Linked DNA regions of Ovis aries. The protein of the gene in region 1 interacts with the protein of each later gene in a biochemical or structural test. Links are inferred from orthologs where the notes say so. Each region holds a gene or a part of one and is shown on either strand. Other genes may lie near its edges.

The links.
Region 2: the proteins of TOM1 (region 1) and TOLLIP form a complex in vitro, tested with the Homo sapiens proteins (3 studies listed by BioGRID and IntAct, with this or other methods). The link is inferred for Ovis aries from reciprocal best matches to the Homo sapiens genes TOM1 and TOLLIP.

The regions. Positions count from the first base shown.
Region 1 is NC_056056.1:179,157,212-179,167,781, forward strand, and holds the start of TOM1 (target of Myb1 membrane trafficking protein), read left to right. Parts: upstream 1-4,985; 5' UTR 4,986-5,012; coding exon 5,013-5,064; intron 5,065-10,570.
Region 2 is NC_056074.1:46,570,627-46,579,854, reverse strand, and holds the end of TOLLIP (toll-interacting protein), read right to left. Parts: intron 8,192-9,228; coding exon 8,042-8,191; intron 6,340-8,041; coding exon 6,157-6,339; intron 5,538-6,156; coding exon 5,385-5,537; intron 4,844-5,384; coding exon 4,753-4,843; intron 2,948-4,752; coding exon 2,736-2,947; 3' UTR 1,054-2,735; downstream 1-1,053. UniProt on the Homo sapiens protein: Component of the signaling pathway of IL-1 and Toll-like receptors. Inhibits cell activation by microbial products. Recruits IRAK1 to the IL-1 receptor complex. Inhibits IRAK1 phosphorylation and kinase activity.

The DNA.
Region 1 (10,570 bases):
AAAAAAAAAAAAAGTACTGTGTTCTCATGTAGGTTTATTTATGTGCGAGTATGAATGTGTTTTAATTATGTGTATTTAACTCTTTAAACTCCCTTAGATTTTAATTTATCCTGTAAATTTCTGTATATATAATTTAAAAAACAAGAGCCTCCACCAGCAACAGCATGTGGAAGAGACTAGATTTGTCATTTCTTCCTCTCCTCCTTCCTCTGGCCTCCTCTGCAAACTCCAGATCACCCACACTTTAAGGTATCGTGCCTCAAGACGGAATCATTATGTTGGGATTCTAGTTCTTTACAATTAAATAATGTCAAGAAAGTGAAATAAAAAGGAATGTTACCATTCCCAGCTGCCCTCATTTCCAAAGAACCAGATTTTGCTTCCCAGTTCCAAAGAAAACAGCTGAGCCATTCATGGTTGTTTTTAAATTTTGTGCGAGTCCACATCAAAACCAAGCTCTGAGGTGACTGCTTGCTTCCCTTGGCCTGGATGGAGCACTGAGGCATCAGAGTCGATCTTTGAGGATAGTGCCCCCAGCCTGCATCCTGTGTAACTCCTTCCATCCTTCCTTCCCATCCATGTGGCCACGGGGCTGTGTTCCTTAAAGGTATTCTGGCTGCCAAATGCCTTTCTCACCTCAGAGTAGCTTTGAGATTGAACTGGGGAAACAGAAGAGAACAGGAACGTCTGGGAACCAAAATTACGAAGAGCAGAAATCCTGGTTTGGTTTTGTGTGTCAGTGCTTGCCACACACCTCCTCTCTACCCACGCCAGTTTCCTGTTGGACACAGGGCATCAAGGAAGGGGCCTCAGAGACATGGATTAGTACAGAGAGAAGTCAGTCCCACCATTGTCATCTGTATACATTAACAAAGTCTTGACGAGAGCCTGCTTTTTGTTTGTTTTCCTTTAAAGTCCAACCCTATTGTATTTGTATTTAAAATTTGTACACATTTGTATAATAATCTGTTCCTTGTGGTATTTGGTACTATTAGAGGAAAAACTTTGGATTCAGACCTTCTTGCAGTTTTTATATCATTGTTTTATTTTGTTTTTTAAATAAATTCTAGCAGTTTGATCCAAATCCCATTACAGTTGTATAAAGAAATAAAATTTTGTACTTATATTATTAAAAATCACATTTTTAATATTTGTAGTCCAGTGTCAGCTATCTTTTTCCTGTGGCTAACCAAAGTTCCTATGAAATTTTAAACCTGTCTTTCACATTTGAAAAAAAAAAAAAAGCCCATCTGGAATAGAGGTCAAGTTTCTGATCAAAGCTAACAAACATCTTGCTCTGTTTCTATTAACTTTTACATTGAGGACTTTCATCTTCTCTTTTGCTAACTGCAAACCCAGTGGCTCTGTAAGTGTAGCTATCTTCACTGACAAATGAAATTGTACGCACATTACATTATTGGCCTAAGTCAAATATCTGTCAATCTTGTATAAGAGTCGCATTCAAATTGTGTGCTAAATCATGTGTTTCAGCACTGTTCTGATTTGCTGAGTTACAGTGGATTGGATAAATAACTTAATTTTTATAGGTATCTACAGTCCTGTCTATAAGTGTTAATGTCACTTCCCTGTCTCCAAGCCTTGCAGCCAGCCAGCCTGACATGTACGTTTAGTAATACTGTGAACATCTAATATATGAGTTTAGACCTTTCAAGGTAAAATTTTCAATGCAAACACAAGGTGTTAATAGTCATAAATAGCAAATAGTCATAAATAGCAAAATATTGGCTGTAAGCCTCACTTCTTACAGAGAGGCAGCAAGAAAGAGATCACCATATTGCTGAATGAAGAGAGTGCTTTGCATATTTTATTGCACTTAATCCTCCCCCAAAGCTTTATCAATATTATCCCCTTTTACAAAAGAGGAGACAGGTACAGGAAAGCACTTTCCCTGAGTTTAAACAGCTAAGTAAATGGCAAAGCCAGAATAAGCACACTGGAACAGCAAACCCCAAAGCCGAGGCTCTCTTCTACCCCAGTTCAGTTCAGTTCAGTCACTCAGTCGTGTCCGACTCTTTGCGACCCCATGAATCGCAGCACGCCAGGCCTCCCTGTCCATCACCATCTCCCGGAGTTCACTCAGACTCACGTCCATGGAGTCAGTGATGCCATCCAGCCATCTCATCCTCGGTCGTCCCCTTCTCCTCCTGCCCCCAATCCCTCCCAGCATCAGAGTCTTTTCCAGTGAGTCAACTCTTCGCATGAGGTGGCCAAAGTACTGGAGCTTCAGCTTCAGCATCATTCCCTTCAAAGAAATCCCAGGGCTGATCTCCTTCAGAATGGACGGGTTGGATCTCCTTGCAGTCCAAGGGACTCTCAAGAGTCTTCTCCAACACCACAGTTCAAAAGCATCAATTCTTCTACCCCAAGCCACCTTCAAATTTAAACTGTGTATGTAATTCATCGGAATCCTTCTCCATTATCTGCAGTCCTGAGCAAATGTGATTGCAGGAAAACTGTCAGAACTTTTCACTGTCCAAATGTTCTTTTGTCCTAGCTGGACTTTGCTATAGGGATCTCACTTTTCTTGTCATACTATGGTCTTTAAATTTTGGAAGCAGAGTATCTTAAATTCTTTGTTTAAATGTACTTAAAGGTTATAATCTTAATCATTTTGTTTAGATGTACTTAAAGGTTATAATCAATTATATTACATTTATGCATTGTCAATCTTAAGGGACTTCAACATTTTTATCCATAGTAAGGCATTTAATATTGATATTGCTAAAACGCTTAAAAGGAAAAATTAAAGACTATTTACTAAATGAGTTTGTTCCCTGTTAGGAAATAGTTTGAAGACATAGTTTTGTACTGCACTTAATGTTTGCCATTTACGTTACTATTTATTGTATTGACAAAATCTACACACTTCCATTTCTGATTTAATAGCTGTACAACTTTCTGTCTGCATGGAGTTAATATAATTTCACTCCCTGTTTGGGGGTATGTGGGTTGTTTCTGCTTTCTTACCATGAAGGATAAAACTTATGGCTGTTCTATTCTCTGTAGTAAAGCCAAGATCTGCCTATAATCACCTCAAACCAGAGTGATGCAAGAGGGCAAGAACTTCCAGTCATCCAACATAGGGATGGATATTAAAGGTTAATGGAAGAATCCAAAGGAAAATCATGCTAAATACATGCCATACTAACAAGCAATATGCTTAAATGAAAAAAAACATGGAAGGTACCTACCTGACATGAAAATGGTCATAAGTGCACATCCCCCCTTTATAGGCTAAATGCCACTGCTAATTTAAATTTTCAAGCATTAGTCATCATGCTGGACAACAGTGAGAGAAACAGACATAGCATCCCAGACTCAAGGAGCATCTAGACTACTGGGGGACTGGGCATATATTAACATGTCTCATGAGCATTATTAAAACACTTCAAAGCACAGGAGTACATGATTTCAATAAAGCTTTTATATCGTACAATAAAGATGTCAACTAAGAAATCCCAGGGCTGATCTCCTTGCAGTCCAAGGGACTCTCAAGAGTCTTCTCCACCACAGTTCAAAAGCATCAATTCTTCTACCCTATTGACTGCTCAGTTAACATACAGAAGTGATAAAGTTGTAATTCAGGTTTTCTATCATCCTAAATTTGTGAAATGTACTAGCCTTTCGAATTAAAAATTCACAAATACGTTCGATAGATACTAAAGCACCTTGCAGTAGCTCAGACTACCAAAGCAGTGGTTATTTTATCTTTTGGAGTGCATGCCATTAGAAGGAAAAAACTATAACCAATAGGTAAGATATCTAATGAGTAAGTGACACAGCTGAAACATGGCGCACGGGAGCATGGAAGAAGACATTTGAATTACAAAGCTGAAGAAAGCCTTTGAGATTCTTAGCTTGGAGTCCACTGGTGTACCTCAGGGACCCCAGAACCACCCTGAGGTACAATTCTATCTTGCCTTTTTTCTTCAGAAATGCTCCAGTGCTTTGTACAATTTCTCAAAGGATCCTGTGACCTAAGAAAATAAAGGTTAGAAGTCCTTGATCTAATTCCAGAATTCAGAGAAAATGGAAGCCTGCTGTTTGAATCACACCGTAAATGAATGGCAGAGATGTGTCCTAGGACCCACTCATAACATTTGTATGCTTTCTGCCACCTTGAGCTCTAGCCCATCACTAGCTGCAATTCATTGAGTTGTCTCTCAGTGTCAAGGTCTCGAAAAGCCTTTGCCCTTGCCTCCTATTTGAGGTAAGGGAATCTGGGCTGCAAACATGAAGCATTTTGCAGCCAGAAGACCTCAGCCTCAAACAGGAAGCGTCCTCTCTGGGTAGGGAGACAACAAGCCAGAGAGTCTATCAACCCCAGCAGCGGATGTGTAGTCATACTGAGGTCCCGGGGGACCGGACTGAGAGCTAGAGCTTTGGCCTCGGCTTGCTGGGTACCGTTACATATGTATGTTATATGTTAGTCGCTCAGTCGTGCCCGACTCTTTTCGACCCCCATGGACAGCAGTCCACAAGGTCCCTCTGTCCATGAGATTTTCCAGACAAGGATACTGGAGTGGGTTGCCATTTCCTTCTCCAGGGGATCTTCCCAACCCAAGGATCGAACCCAGGTCTCCTGCACTGCAGGCAAATTCTTTACTGACTGAGCTACAAGGGAAGCCCACGCAAATCATTTCCCGGGTCTAAGATTGGGTTTTCCAGGTGTTAAGAGCTCAAAGGCCACGCCCCTAAATCCTTCAGGACGCGTGGAGGGCGTGGCTTAGCGAAACCCACGCCCCCTCGTCGCCCTACGTACTGCGTGACGTCCGCCGACGCCTAGTTAACCGCAGTGAGGTCATCGCCCTCCGCCTCAGGGAGCCGACACTCCACGTCCGAGGCGGGGCCTGCGTCTAGGCTCCAGACTGCCTCTGCCCCGCCCCAGCCGCGCCTCCTCGAGGACGGTCCAGCGCATCACGTGACGGGTCCGCGGCGCTGGCGGTTGCTGTCAGCTGATCCCCGGCTTGGAGGCAGCGGCAGCAGTGGCGATGGACTTTCTCCTGGGGAACCCGTTCAGCTCTCCGGTGGGACAGCGCATCGGTGAGTCTCCGGGGCCCCGCGCAGGCCCAGCGCAGCACTCCGCATTCGACCCCGGCCCCCCAGGGTACCTCCAGGTCCCGAGTCACACACCAGAGGGAGGCAGGGAGGGGAGTGAGGCTGGCGTGTCTCTCTCAGACCCGGCCCCGCCCTGCCTCCCGCCTGCTTTGATTGACAAAAGCCACTGTCCACTAGGAAGCTTCGGATTGTGATGGATGCCCACGGAAGCCAATAAATAAAGAGGGGAGGCGGGCCCGGGCGGCCGCGGCTCAGCCAATGTGCAGCTGCTGGGGTCGCGAATCCAGGCAGAAAGTTTTAGGGGTTAAAGGGACTGCGTGGTTTTTGCAGTGTTTGGGTCCCTCGATGGTTTCTGTCATCGCCTCCCCCGCACGGGTTGCGCCACCTGGGCTCTTGCCATTTCCTTCCTGGCTCGTCTGGAGTTGCGAACACGGATACCTGAGAAGGGCTGGAAGTCCATTCTCAAGGACCAGGAGGCTGGGGCTTTGCGGCCTGGCGGGCAGGCGGCTGGGAGCCCTTCCTCCACCAAGCCGGGGCTAGACGCTAGGGAGCCCACCCCACGAGAAGGCCAGGCCAAATCCTCAGGAACTGCCGGCCATAGCCGCCTCACCAGCCGGCACCGAATGGACCGCGTGGAGTCGCAGACTTGGAGCTGGAAAGGATCTTCGAAACCACCTGATTTCAGCCTCCCTCATTTCTCAGCAGATGGGAGGCCCAAGCCCTCTGGGCGAGACACAGGCTCACTCAAGAGCCCAGGCTCCTGACTCTCTTGGCACCTGTTGAGCGGAGGCTTAGTAATGGTGCGGCGTTGGCTGTCTGTAGAGAGGATCCCTCCCCAGTGATTAGGGGATAATAATGATCCCTGCCTCCTTGGGGTTGTTTAGGTTAAACTCGTTCATAAGTGTGAAGGATTTAGTGCCTTCCACGTGGCAGATGCTCTGTAAAAGAAGGTGGTAATATTTATTGTTACTGAGACACCACCAAGTGCGGGTTCCAAAATCCTGAGAATGGCTAGACAGTTGGTCTCACAGACACTCATTCCTGCCCACCAACTCAGAGAGGACCCACAGGCCATGGCCGGGACACTTCTCCAGAACAGTCTGGTTGTGCTTCCTCGCCTGAATAAATCGAGGGAAGTACTGTGAAAGCCTCTCTCCATCTTTTTGATGATTTTTAGCCTTAAGTCCAGACTGGGAAAACTGGATCTTTTAGACAATACATTCTTTTCATTCTTGGTGCCTTAGAAGTCAAACCTCACTTAAGTCTGTTAACCCAGCTCTGTGTTGAAATCGCTGCCTGTGGCTGTTTGTGGCTCTTTTGAGGTTTTGTAATCAAATGTATTCAAGAGGATGCTGTCAGTAGAGTATTTACACACCAGGAAGTTCCTGGATCTGAGAGGGGCAGCTGCTCTCTCAGGACCCTCACCCACCTGCTACACAAACAGACACACACACTGATGAGTCATTGTTTGGGACTGAAAAGAGAAGGCAGTTCATCTCTTGTCTGTATTTCTCCAACTGCAGAAACCTCTGCTTTTATCACATGTCAAATTTGAGACTTCCTACACACCCACCCCCCAAAAAAGAAAAAAATTCTGGTTCACAGGCAGCCAAATATGCCTGAGTCTTTCTAGAAAAGCTCTTTGGGACTCCAGGCTTGAGGTAGTCAAACAAAAGAGCTTCTCTTCTTACCCTGAAGGGTTACCTGTCTTGGGCAAGAAATATTCAGTCCAAAGAGCATGCTACTAAACTCTTAGTCCCTTAGAGCACAGACCGTGTTTTACTGCAGGAACAGTCCTTATCCTAGGGCTCTTCTAATCCAGGGCTATCATCAGAATCCCCTGGAAGACTTGTTAAAGCATCAAAGGCCGGGCCCCACCCCCAGAGTTTGTGACTGTAGACCTGAGGTGGCCACCAGATTGAAAACCTCCATTGTAGCCCATCCCCTTCATTCTACACTGGAGACTGAGGCCAAGAGAGGGAAGGTGGAAAATAGGACTCACCCAAGACCCCAGTGATGTGGTCAGAAAGCTGAGAAGAACCCCTCTGAGTCCGTGAAATCTGAACCAAAGCTGAAGAGGCTCTAAAAGTACTATTAAATGAATAATGTCTGCTATTTGAGTTAATACCCTCAGTATTCCTTTTCTTCACCCCCGGGGTGTGGGGGAGCAACAGCCCTGATCAGCTGTAATTACTAATGACCTAGTATGAGCTGCTTTCATTTCTATAAACTGCAGGATTGAAATAATCTCTTCTCAAGCCTGCCGACTTCATCCCCCGGTTGAGCATAGAGCCCTGTCCAGTTGGCAGCACTGAGCACAGTAGGTCGTGATGGTCTAAATCAGAGCTCAGTGTCTCTCGACTCAGAAAGTTTCCAGTCACCCATTCACACCCCTTTCTGCTTGCTGCTCCCTCTGCCTGGAATGCCTGCTGCCAGTGCCTCCTTAAAGTTCCAGGCATCATCACCTACTCCAGGAGGCCTTCGCTGACCCCTTCAAATCCAGCCGTTGTTTTTGTGCCCTCCCATCACCCTAGCTCCTCAGGCTCACTCCCTGTCTGCCTTTGGGCTCTGCTTCCTGGGTGCAATGGTGGTTATGGCAGCATCCATTTCTCAGAGTGGTTGTGAGAGTGAAGTGAGATGCTCTCTGGAGAGGGCCTGGCACATTATTAGTTTGCAGAATACATCGTCATCATTTTTATTATTTTCACTGACGTCACACTAATAAAGCACCGTGGCATTCTGTTAGTAGTTGTGCGTGTGTTTCCCCTGCTGGACTAGGCTTTGTGAGAGCAGATGCTGAATCTTACTAATCCAGACCCTAGGTACTTAGCATAATGCTGACACATGACTGGAGGGAAGAAAGGAAAGTAACAGTTTGTGAGCAAACACCAGGTCCATACTTGTATCACAGTCCTATTGTCAAGCCCAAGTTTGTGTGCTGATGTGAGGTGAGGCCAAACAAACCAAAGCGGGAGTGTGGAGCAGAGAAAAGTGTATTACAAGGGCCAAGGAAGGAGATTGGGCTGTGCATGCTCAAAGACCCAAAACCCCATTGGTTTTCAGGGAGGAGCTTCTAAAGGCAAAATTAGGAGGAGGGTGGAACTCCAGGGTTTGTAAATATCTTCTGATTGGTTGGTGGGAGGTAACAAGGTGGGGCTCCAGGAATCTTAGGCATCAGCCTTCTGGTTCCATCCAGTCTGTGGTCTCCGTGCTTGTGCAGACCTGAAGTCACCATCATCCACCTGGGTGGGGCCCCAGCTCCTATAGTAGAACTCAGAGATGTGTATCAGATTGTCAAGTAAATCCCTCGAGAAGGAACTAGGACTCTTTTTTTATTGTTGCGCTATTGTTTCTTGATTGCTTTTCCTTTGTTTCTGGGTTCCCTCCCTCCCCTAATCATTAACTGAATCTGCCTTTTGGAACTCAGGGAAGATTTAGGAGACAGATGACTTTTCCGCAAAAACAAGAAACAGGGGACACTGAAAAGCTTTCGTACCCAGAAGGGCCCCGCAGGATACCAGTGGGGATACGCCTTTTCTTTAATACTCTTCAGTCTTGTGGGGAACAGGTGTGGGACAAGAAAGGGAATAAAGTTTTGAATAAAGAAATTAATATGAAGTTGACAGAGGAACTCAGTTTTAAGGGGAGTCTGTTTCAAGCATGCAAGGTTCTGCTGTTTTTTCCAATCACCAAAAGTAAGTCTGAAGGAAGGTGTCACTTCCAAGGTTTCCCAGCTTCCTAGAGTCGGGACCCAGACCCAGGTCTCTGCCTGCAGAACTGAGGTCCTCTCGCACCCTCACCATCCTGCCTCTGGCTGGTCAACACCTGTTTGGAATTTGGAGCAACCCAGCCCTCCAGCAGCCACAGTTACTGTTTGACCCACAGACCAGCTTTTCCGCTTGTGGCGCTTGCTGGGCCCTGAATGTTTCCAGGTCACTCGTGCTCAGTCAGTCAGTCGTGTCCAACTCTTTGTGACCTCGTGGACTATAGCCCACCAGATTCCTCTGTCCATGAGATTTCCCAGGCAAGAATACTGGAGTGGGGTGCCATTTCCTCCTCCAGATCACTAAAGAATCCACTGTCAACTAAAGAATATGCACAACCTAAAAGCTGAGGCTTTTAGGAGCCCTCACTGAGAACTACAGCCTTGGAGGCAGTCTCTCAGATAGCTCTGAGGGACTGTTCCAAAGAGGTCAGGGAGAAGCCAGGAGATACAGGAGTTTTTGCTGGGGGAAGGCAGATGGAGGGGGCGTGGGGGGACACACAGTCAGACATCAAAAGATGACTGCTAATCACAAAAAGCAGATACCTCAAATTAATGTTTTAGTGCTTTTCTCTGTGTGGGAAGCTGCAAGAGTCTGGGCTGTTTGAAGTCATTCCTTTGGTTTGCATCTTCACTATCTAGGCCCAGTATACTCTTTTTCTCCATCCTGAACTCTGCTCAAGGTGCACTTCAGTGAAGGGAGGGTGCACTGTAACCAAAGGCTTGATGGCCACAAGTGCTTTTGTTTACTGAAATGGTGGGTGATGCTTTATCTATCAGGAAAGCTTCCAGTGGACAGCAGCCTATGGCTGAAAGGACCCTAGATAGTGAGTACTAGCTGGTGTTGACACAGCCCTCTTCTTCCAAGGATTTTAAAACCCATCTCAGGTATTCTCTGATGACAGCCCTGGCTGGCCGTGTTTTAAAAACCCAGTTTTCCACCTCCAGCTGTCAGCTCACCCAGCACTTTGACTGGAGGCGCAGCTGACCCAGGAGAGCCAGCTGCAAACAGCAGAGACTCTAGACACAGGCAGTGCCTGGGGACCACCCCCTAGTCGTGGGGCAGGAGGAAAGCTCAGAGCCTAAGCCTGAACCCTGGGGTGGATGGGAGAGGTGAAAGGTCAGGGAGAGCCACTCTTAGCCCCATAAAGGCCAAGCCAAGGGGCTGCCAGAAGGCATCATAGATGGGAGACCATAGGCATTAGCAGGAAGAGAGCCCCACAGGCCCTCAGGGCTGCCCTTTGGGGAGCAATAAGTGGAAACCAAACTGGACATTCAGGTGTGTTGTCAAGGGGACGCCAGGCTAGGTGGCAGAAGACCTGGGTCCGGCTCATGTTCGCTCCTGACTGTCTCGTTCCTTCTCACCACTTTCTGTTAGGGACCATCACTCTCCCTCATTCACAGAGGACTGAACAACTGAGGGGACGGTGAGGACAGCGTAGGTTGATTCTAGAGAGAAGAAAGAAATGGATGGGTACTGGGGGAGGAGTGATGGAACCGATTCCATCACTCCAAGGAGCCCAGTGCCAGCACGGTTCACAGCAGGACTGGGTGAGCTCCCCACCACTGGAGGTATGGAGGGGAGGGAGGCTGTAAGCAGGATGTTGCGTGGCTGGCAGGGTAGACTGGACCAGGATTTGCAAACTTTTTCTATAAAGGGCCAGAGAGTAAATATTTTCAATTTTGTGGGCCGTATGGCTTCTGCTGCAATCCGTTGGCCTCTGCCCT
Region 2 (9,228 bases), on another chromosome or scaffold:
GTGAGAGGAGGGTCTTCTAGGCCCCGCACACCACAGGGCCTGCCTCCGCTGTCAGCGCTGGGGCCCAGCCCAGGGGCCCAGCTGGGAACCAGTGACTCATGCTGTCCCCCAGGGGCTGCGGTCCTCAGCGCCCAGGGAAGGTGGGGGCTGGGTCTCTTCATGGCCTTTCCTACTTAACCACTAAGGTCTAGTCGGGGCAGGACCCCCCTGGGACTGGACTGGAAATGGTCCAGCAGGGCTGACAAGCTTTACGGACAGACTGCAGTCGGAGCTGGCGGCCCCTCTCCGGCCGCCACTGGGGTCTGTGCACTCCCCCGTCTCAGTCTGATTTCCTGGGCGACTGTGGCTGGGCTCTGCCCTGGCCTGAGTCTCCTAATTCCCGAGTGAAACAGCAGCATTCCCTACAGTTTGGTCATCCTCAAGGCACAGCGTCTTCCTTACACCCATGGACCTCTTCCAGAACTAAGCATGTTTTCGAGGCACCTGAGGACTGTCATTTGCCACAGACCAGAGCTCACGCGTGAACTGTTTTTAATCACAGACCGGAGCGCACGTGTGTGAACTGTTTTTATCACAGACCGGAGCTCCCGCGTGTGAAGTGTCTTCACTCTCCAGAGACTGGAGCTCACGTGTGTGAATTATCAGAGACCAGAGTTCACGCGTGTGAATTATTTTCACTCATCGCAGACCGGAGCTCACGTGTGTGAATTGTTTTTATCGCAGACTGGAGCTCACGCGTGTGAAGTGTCTACACTCTCCAGAGACTGGAGCGCCTGTGTGTGAACTGTCTTCGCGCTCCGCAGGCCGGAGCTCACCTTGGAACCGAGGGTGCTAACATCCTCTGTAGGCTTGCTCCCTGCAGGCTTCGTGCCTGCACGCCAGGCTCCGTGCACACACTGAGCTCCATGCTCACACTCTAGGCTCCCGGGCAGAGTCCAGCCTCTGCCCTGTGCCTTCACTCACTAGTCTGCTGGTGACCGTTTCATCAACTGGCTTATTACAAGCCAGATTAAAGTGGAATAAAAACAGTAAATTCTCTTTGAAGAACTGGACTTTGTTTTTACATAGATCATTTATTAAGTTAGAAGGCTGAAAGGTACAAACATATCTTACAATCAAAGAGGAATCTGGACCCTGGACCCCAACAGAATGATCTGAAACGCAAAGCTCCAAGGACCATTTCTGCAAACACCCAGCAGGGCTCCTGAAACGGGAGTGGGGTGGGGAGCCTGCTGTACACGCCTCTCCTCTCCGACACCAAGCAACAACCACCTGTGAGGCACCCCAGTCCTGGGCCCGGCAGCCACAGGCGCCGTGCTTAGTGCCCCCCGAGGGGCGGCCTGGACACGAGCACGGACGTGAGCAGAGCAGCAGGGACAGCAGGGCCACCGGACATCTCGAGGCCCTACTGATGCGCCCTCCTCTGACCCAGTGCAGCAGCAGGCGTCCGCGACAAAGGACCCCGAGCTGGCAGGTCTCAGCCACCCTGAAGCCAAGTCTCCTGTCCTCGGAGGCCCAGGCAGGGGGAGGCGGCGGCGGGGAGGCAGCGTGGGGCCGCCCGGGCTGGGGTCAGCCATCAGAGTTGCGCTGTGTGGTCACCGTGCTGCAGCCAGCGTGCGGCTGTTTAGCCGCTGGTCTCACGCATCTACCGAGCGCCTGCGGCAAAGGCACCGGTGGTCTGAACCCCCCTCGCAAGCCTCCCTGCCACCGGGCCGCCACGGGAGGGGTCTGGTTGGCTTGACCGCTGGCCAGCTTCACGCTAAGCCTACGTCAGGGACAGGACTGGGGTCTGTCTGAGTCCTCACCGCCTCGGGGTGGGGTCTGTCTCCATGTCCAGAGGCCGGGCAAGGCCTCCAGGCAGAGCGGCAACCGTGGCTGGCCGCACCGTGTTCTCATTTCCATGGGGCTCCACCCAGCTGGCCCCATCCTCAGTGTCCACGGCCAGAGGCGGCAGGGTGCCGCCCACACCGCAGGTTGCCTCTTGCCTCTCGGGAAGACCTCCCAGTGCCGGCGGTCACCACGCTGACCCAGCCTGCGGCCCAGCTTCCTACACAAGGTCGGCGGTGAGCTGAGAGTTCAGAGGCCTCTGACAGACGGGGACGAGGGCTGGGTCTGCTCCCGACACCCACCTCAGCGAGCTCTACAGTCAGCGCGCGTCTGGGGGCGGCGACCCCTCGGGACAACACGGCATGGAGGGCGAGGCAGCAGGAAAGACTACGGGGCCGCGGGCTCAGGACGTGGCTGCAGACGCCAGGCTGGGCCCCGAGGCAAGGTCCACCCGACCCCAGCGAGGCGCCCAGGGAGACCGCCACGGGGAGGAGCGGAGCTTCTTGTCCTGAAGCCCTAACACGACCCACAGCAGCTGTTAGTGTGTCTACCCAGGCAGGCGGCATCATGAGAGACCACCTGTCAACCCAGAAGGGGCCCAGCACCGAGGCCCTGCGGGGGAGCTGCTCCCAGGAGAGGCTCCCGGGAGGACGGCCAGCAGGAAGTGGGCGTGTGCACGGGACGCGCCGCCTCCACCCTTCAGGAAGCGAGAGGAGAGCCACCCCCCCCCGCCCCGACCACGTGGAGAACGGCTCCAAGAACCAAAACCACATGCATCCCAACGAGGGCGAGGACGGCAACACGGACGTCCAAGGAAGGGGCTACGCGGGGCATGTTCACGGGGATCTGCTGGGGACAGTGCTCGGGAGAGCTGGGCGGGCGGGCAGGCGGCGAGACGGCGGGCATGTCTAGGACTCCTCGCCCATCTGGAGCAGGGAGTTGATGGCTGCGTCCCTGCTGCCCCGCTGGGCCTCCAGCACGGAGCGGATCACCTCCCGGTCCATGTTGGGGAACATGTCCTGGATGGCCTTCAGGTCCTCCTCACGGCAGCGGGGCTGGGCGCTCACGGCTGGGGGCAGCGCCACAGGCACCACGCCGGGGCTGCACACGGCGGGCATCCCTGCAAGCAGAGGCAAGCTCAGTGGGCAGCCCCTCTGCTGCGGAGCCCAGGTCTCACCTGAGGTCTCCCCCACAACACGACCCCAGAGATCTCCCCCCACCTCCAACATGACCCCAGAGGTCTCCCCTCACCCCAACATGACCCCAGAGATCTCCCCCTCACCCCATGACCCCAGAGGTCTCCCCCCACCCCCGACATGACCCCAGAGGTCTCCCCCTCACCCCAACACTGCCCCAGAGATCTCCCCCTACCCCCGACATGACCCCAGAGGTCTCCCCCCACCCCCGACATGACCCAGAGGTCTCCCCCTCACCCCAACATCACCCCAGAGATCTCGGCCCCGGACACTGCCTCTCAGATAGGCCAGACGCTCAGGAAAAATGGGGGTGAGCAGACCTCAGCCATTTACACCACGGGGGTCAAGCCCTCGCACCACGGCCACCCCCAGCTGCCACCCCCCCAACCCCGAGCACCGAGACTCCCCCGCCGGCCCCTCTGCCGGCCCTCCAGGACAGGCCTTCCCAGCTGGGCACCCAGTCCCAGTCAGACCCCGTCGAGGAAGGAGACCCCACCGGGCCCAGCGTCCTGAGGACGGCAGACCCCCCCCTGCTCCACACGGGCAGCACGTGGGGCTCCGGTGTCAGCTCGCCACACCAGCCGCACCCCTTCACTCCCATGTGGACGCTGAGAAGCTCAAGGCATCTCAGCTGCTGGAAGACTCAGACCTGGAGCCACCAGAACCCAAGTCAAAGCTCCGACTGTCTTGTGAGGAAAACAGACCAGCAAAAGGAAAGACAGAGCTGCTGAGGTCCCGCGGCTTCAGAGACAGCCCTGGCCAGACAGCGCTCTGAAGGGCGGAAGCGGCTGCAAAACTACCTGTCTTTAGAAACTCAAAAGCACAGTCCCCCAACCAGGCCCAACAGCTCACATGGTCTCCTTTCCTGTCTGAGCTCAGAAGACCTTAAAGGCAGCTCAAAACCTTCCAAACCAAAACCAGCAGAAGAGCCGACAAGCGCTGAGGTACAGGGGTGCCGGCCGCAGGGGTGGGACCAAGCCTGCGATGGACACGGCTGCCTGCGGGGCCGGACGCGCACCCGAGGCAGCCGCAGGGCCCAGCCCCTCCCTCCCGCTGCCCCCCGGCCCCTCCCTCCCGCTCCAGCCCTCACTCTTCCCCGCACTCTGCTCAAGAGCTCAGAGGTTTCTCAGGGACACGGCCACCACCGTGCGCACAGCACCCTCGCATCCTCTCCCGTCTCCCAGGCTCTGAGCCTCCCACGCTTGCGTCCCACCCCGTCCTACAGACGTTCACAGGCAGGGGGACTGAGTCACTTCCAGTCAGAGCCTGGGTGGGAACTGACCACAGGCTGACGTGAAGGCACAGAAATCCACGAGAAAAGCCACACCCTACTCGACTCCGCTGCGCGTGAACCGCCGGCTCACAAAGGTGAACACTGCGAGAGGTCGAGAGCCGCGCACGGGGAATGGACGCGACAGACGCAGGCAGGCTCGGGCGTGCAGTCCGTCCATCCACCCGAAAGGACATGACCTTGTGCTACAGCGACTCAGAAACCATGCTTCCCCATCTCCATACACTTAACTCAACTTTTCTGCACTGACAGAAAAAAAAACAATCCTACCCCCTAAGCGTGCAGGAGAAGCCAACACAGGACAGCGGACCCCCGGTTTGGGCAGGCTCTCCAGGCACCGCCTGCAGACCAGGCCCAGCCTCTAGCTTGACACCCCACGCACCTCCCTCCTGCTCTGAGGCCACCCCAGGAGACGCGCCGCGAGGAGGGGAGACGCACCTGTGATGGGCACATAGCCCACACCCTGCTGGTACACGGTGGGCATCAGGACCACGGGTTGAGGCGGCATCATCATGGCAGCCGGCAGCGACTGAAACACACCAAAGATGACCCCAGGGTCACAGCAGAACACCCCCCCCGCCGCCTCACCAAAAGCTGGGGTGGGGGGCAGCACCAGGCCTGGGGCCCCACAGTCGAGGCTAGGACGCGCCCTGTCCCCAACCTCAGACGCCCGTTCACACCGCCTCCCCACAGGCCCCTCTGCGGGCAGAGGACGACGCGGGTGGAAGGCGCCTGTCGTCAGAGCCGCAGGACACGACTGAGAGCCCATCGGGAGAGGACGCTGCTCCAGGCTGCGAGCCGGAGCGCACGCTTCAGGCTCGAACCCCTGCCGTCCCAGACAGCCTCTCTCTGGCTGCAGTTAGTTAGACACAGCAGCAGCGTCCCATCCACATGGAAGCGTCTGCTGAACAGGTAGGATGCACCCAGCAGAAACGTGCTGATGTGGGAACCCGCAGTGACTGATCCAGTGCCAGGAAGGGGTGAGCAGGTACCAGCGCGGCGGCCCCGAGGCTGGGGGTCCGCCGGCCCGCCCCCGCGCGGGGAGCACCGGGCAGGCGCGGCGGCCTCACCGTGTACGACAGCACCAGGTTGATCATCCCCTCCTTGTCGTCGCCCTGCCGCCCGCTCAGGCTGTACCACTCGTCCACGACCTTGCCCTGCTTCAGCGCCTCGGGGATCGTCACGTGCGTCCAGGCGATGCGGTCATCCATGGAGAAGGCCCGCTGGGGGAGACGGGAGACGGCATGTGAGCCCAGAGCCCCCAGGGCCCTCCCCCCGCAGGGTGTGCACAGCATGGAGCCCCCGCCTCGCTCCCCTCCTGCGGGCCCACACGGAGGGAGGGGCTCCAATGAGCCACCAGCGCCGCCTGCACCAACCCGCGGGGCCGGGCCCCCGGACACGCGCTCCCCTGAACCACGCCTTCCCCTCCCGCTCCACCCCAACCCCTGAGGACCGCAGCCTCTCCCAGCCCTGCCGCCCACCCCACTCTGAGCCAGCCTCAGAAGGGCTGGGGCACGTGGAGGGCCAGGCTGAGAAGGGCCTGGGGCTCCCGACACCCCGGGGACACTCAGGAGGCTCCTGCCATTCCCCCACAAAGAGGCCAGTGCCCACCCTGCCAGGGCCTGACCGTGTCAGCCCTGAGCCACGTGCGGACAGCAGTGCCTGGCCTGACTGGTCGGGCGACGCCCACGCTCCGGACATGGCGGTGACGTGTCTGAGTGTAGGTTCCAGAGACTCTGGGGGCACAGAGCGCCTGTCACACCACAGCACCCCCCCTGCACACACGCCCGACGTTCTGGAGCAGCCGGGAGCCTGAGCCGCAGCGGCCCGCGTGGTGCCCACCTCGTCGAAGATCTCCAGGTAGAAGGTGTCCACGCCCGGGGGCACGGTGCACTGGATGACCTTGTTCCAGCGCGGGTTCTTGGCGCCGTTGTGGGCCGTGGGCGTCTCGTACACGGCGTAGCCCAGGCGCAGGCGGCAATAGGGGTCCATGCGGGTCATGCCGTAGTTCTTCGCCAGCTTGGCCTGAAACAAAGCCGCCGCGTGAGACGGGGCCGCAGCCGTGAGCCTGGGAGCCTCCCCGCCACCCACGGCTTCCAGGGCGCTCTGGGTGCTGACCCACTGGACACGGCCACCACTGTGCTGTCGGCCCTCCACAACCACAGGTCCAAAGTGAAAGAGAAAGGCGCTGGACCAGGAAAGAACATTCCAGAAACTTCCAAAAGCAAAACCTGAATCTGCCACACCAGCAACTGGGTTTACAGCCTTGTACCGTATAACAACCGAGCTCACGCGGCGTGTTCGGCATGCTAGGTGTCATGAGTAACCCAGGGATGGCTCTGAGCACATGGGATCTGTGCAGGCCACGTGCAGACCTGCACTGTTTCAGGTAGCGGCCTTGAGCGTCCTCAGACTGTGCTGTCTGTGGGGTCCCAGAGCCCGTTCCGAGGACAACTGTGCTTCGGGGCCCAGGAACCAGGAGGTGGTCTGGGCTGGGCCCAGCGTCTCAGGACACACCCACTGCTGGGCGGGGCTGGGTCCCCCCGACTCCTGGGGAGGAGGGTGGAGAGGGCAGGCCGTCCTGGGACAGAGTCTGAGCCCCGGAGAAGCAGGGGTCAGGGGCCCCCTGAGAAGCGAGGCCTGGCCAAGGCCTTCTCTGCATCCTCAGACAGTGACCGTGCCGGCCCCCTGACCGGGCAGGACTCTCTCAGCAGTGACTGACCCTGCCCAGTGCCCGGGGGGCCAGGAATCCGCTCCGAGGGGCCTGATCCCCTGGAGCCCACGCCTCACGGTGACCAGGGCTAGCGCCCTGGTTCCTGCTGAGCAACGGACAGACTCCAGGAAGCACCTGGGGCCTGAGGGCAGGCCCGTGACAGCCAGAGGGAAGGGAACTTTCCGTGGTGCTGGAGAAACGCTCTTATCACAGGGGTGGACACACGTGTCGAGAGGTCACAGAAACAAAAGCACGTTAATTCAAACCAGTGCGTCCTGACACGTATGTCACACTCAACAGGCCGATTCTTTTTAAAAGCCCCTAGAGCCTGCTGCCTGTGAGACGCCATCTCTTCCCGACAAAGGCTCTGTGGAAGCCCCGCCCATTGGGAGCCTCCTTGCACCCCTCTCGGGCTGACACCCCCTGAGCTCTGGCACGCCTGCCCGCGATCATGCCCCAGAGCCGCCCCTCCACGTAGGACCAGCTGGCCCACCTCCAGACACACACCTCCTGTCACCGCAGGACCTCCCCCTGAAGTCATCTCTGAGCCTCAGGCACATCCTCTCAAGCACCCTCGACTGAACGCGTCCGACACTGAAGTGTGGCTCTCCTCCCCACCTGCTCCTGCAGTCTCCCCTTTCTGGCCACTGCCCACCGCCCCTGGTGCCGGCGACAGGCCGCGGGGTCACACACCCTCCTCCCGCCCCAACTTGAGGGCTCTCGAACTGGGCTGGATGCCCCCAGGAGGCCAAATTCGGGGCCTTCCAGCCTTGCCCACGATCTTCCTGACACAGAGCCCGAGGGAGCCCTGGACCCAGCTCGGGATGAGCTGTCCGCTTCCCACTTACTTGCCCCACGCTGCTCGCTGCCCCTCATCCCCCGCCCTTGCCCCCAGCCCATGGGTGGGGACTCCAGTTCAACCCACGCTCTCCACAGTAGCCTCCGGCCGCCCACTGCTGCCCCCGACCCTCGGCGCCCGCGCTCGGCCCCACGGGCTCTGAGAGCCACACCCACCTGCACCACGGTGACGCTGAGGCGGCCCACGGTGCCCAGCGCCCCTCCGTACTGCAGCTGCTGCGCGGCCTGTGCGTCCAACTGGATCTGCTGCTGCTGCTGCGTGGGCGTGATGCGCAGGAAGTCCTGGGGCAGCTCCCCGATGTACACCTGCGGGACCACGGCATCAGCGCGGGGCCGCCCGCCCTGGCCCGGCCCCCTGCTGCACCACGCGGGTCTGGGGCTCCAGCCTGCAGGCCCCCTAGGGCCTGTGCTCCCGGGGGCAGGGCGCCCAGCACATGGGGCTCCGTGGAGGCCCGAGCACGTCCCTGCCTGAAAGCACATCTCGCATCCTCGCCGGGGCTGCAAGCTGCTCTCAGGCCTCAGATGCGCTTGTCGCGTGTTGGCGGTCCCAGCCACAGACCAGGACCATGGTGAGCACGGCCTCTCCACCACAAGCTGTTCACTGGGTGAAGCCTGAGGCCCAGATGCCCAGAGACTCGGAGCAGCCTCTGTGCAGACGCCTCGGGAGAACAGCTCGCCTGCAGAAGCGCCCTGAAGACCAAGAAGCCTGCAGAGTGACCAGCAAAGGCCACGGGACCCGGCCCTGGAGAGGGAAGGCGGCGGAAGGGCGCCTGGGCACACACCCGCGCGCGGAGGATGTGCGGTCTGACGGCGACAACTCCAAGGAGACCACAGGAGACCAAGTTCGGGCCAGCTGGGCTCCGCCAGGGCGGTGAGCACAGAGAGATGCCCCCCAGGGCAGGCGGCCCACCCCCCGGGTGCTCAGGAACCTGGACCCCCCCGCCTCTGCTCTCTGCCGGGTGGGGGGGGGTGCAGGGCCAGGGGGGCACAGTGCAGCCAGGGCCCAGGACCCACGACAGAGGCCTGGCTGCAGGGGGGAACCAGGGCCACAGCCCCGCTCAGTGCCCAGAGCGCAGGGGCCCCAGACCCCTGTGCAGGGACCCGAAGAACGTGGCAGCTTCAGGGGACACGGGAGAGAAGGCCCTGCATGTCGTGGTGAGCCCTGGCAATTGCGTTTATGGACAGTGGCTGCCAGGGACCACCAGACGCTGCCAGACGCCAAGGCTCCCGCGAGGCTGACCAGACGGCATGGGGTGGGCGTCCAGACGGCACCCACCTGCCTGGGAGCGCGCCTGCCGGCTCTAGGGTGCCCTCACTCCTGCGTGCTGGCGCTCACCCCAGAA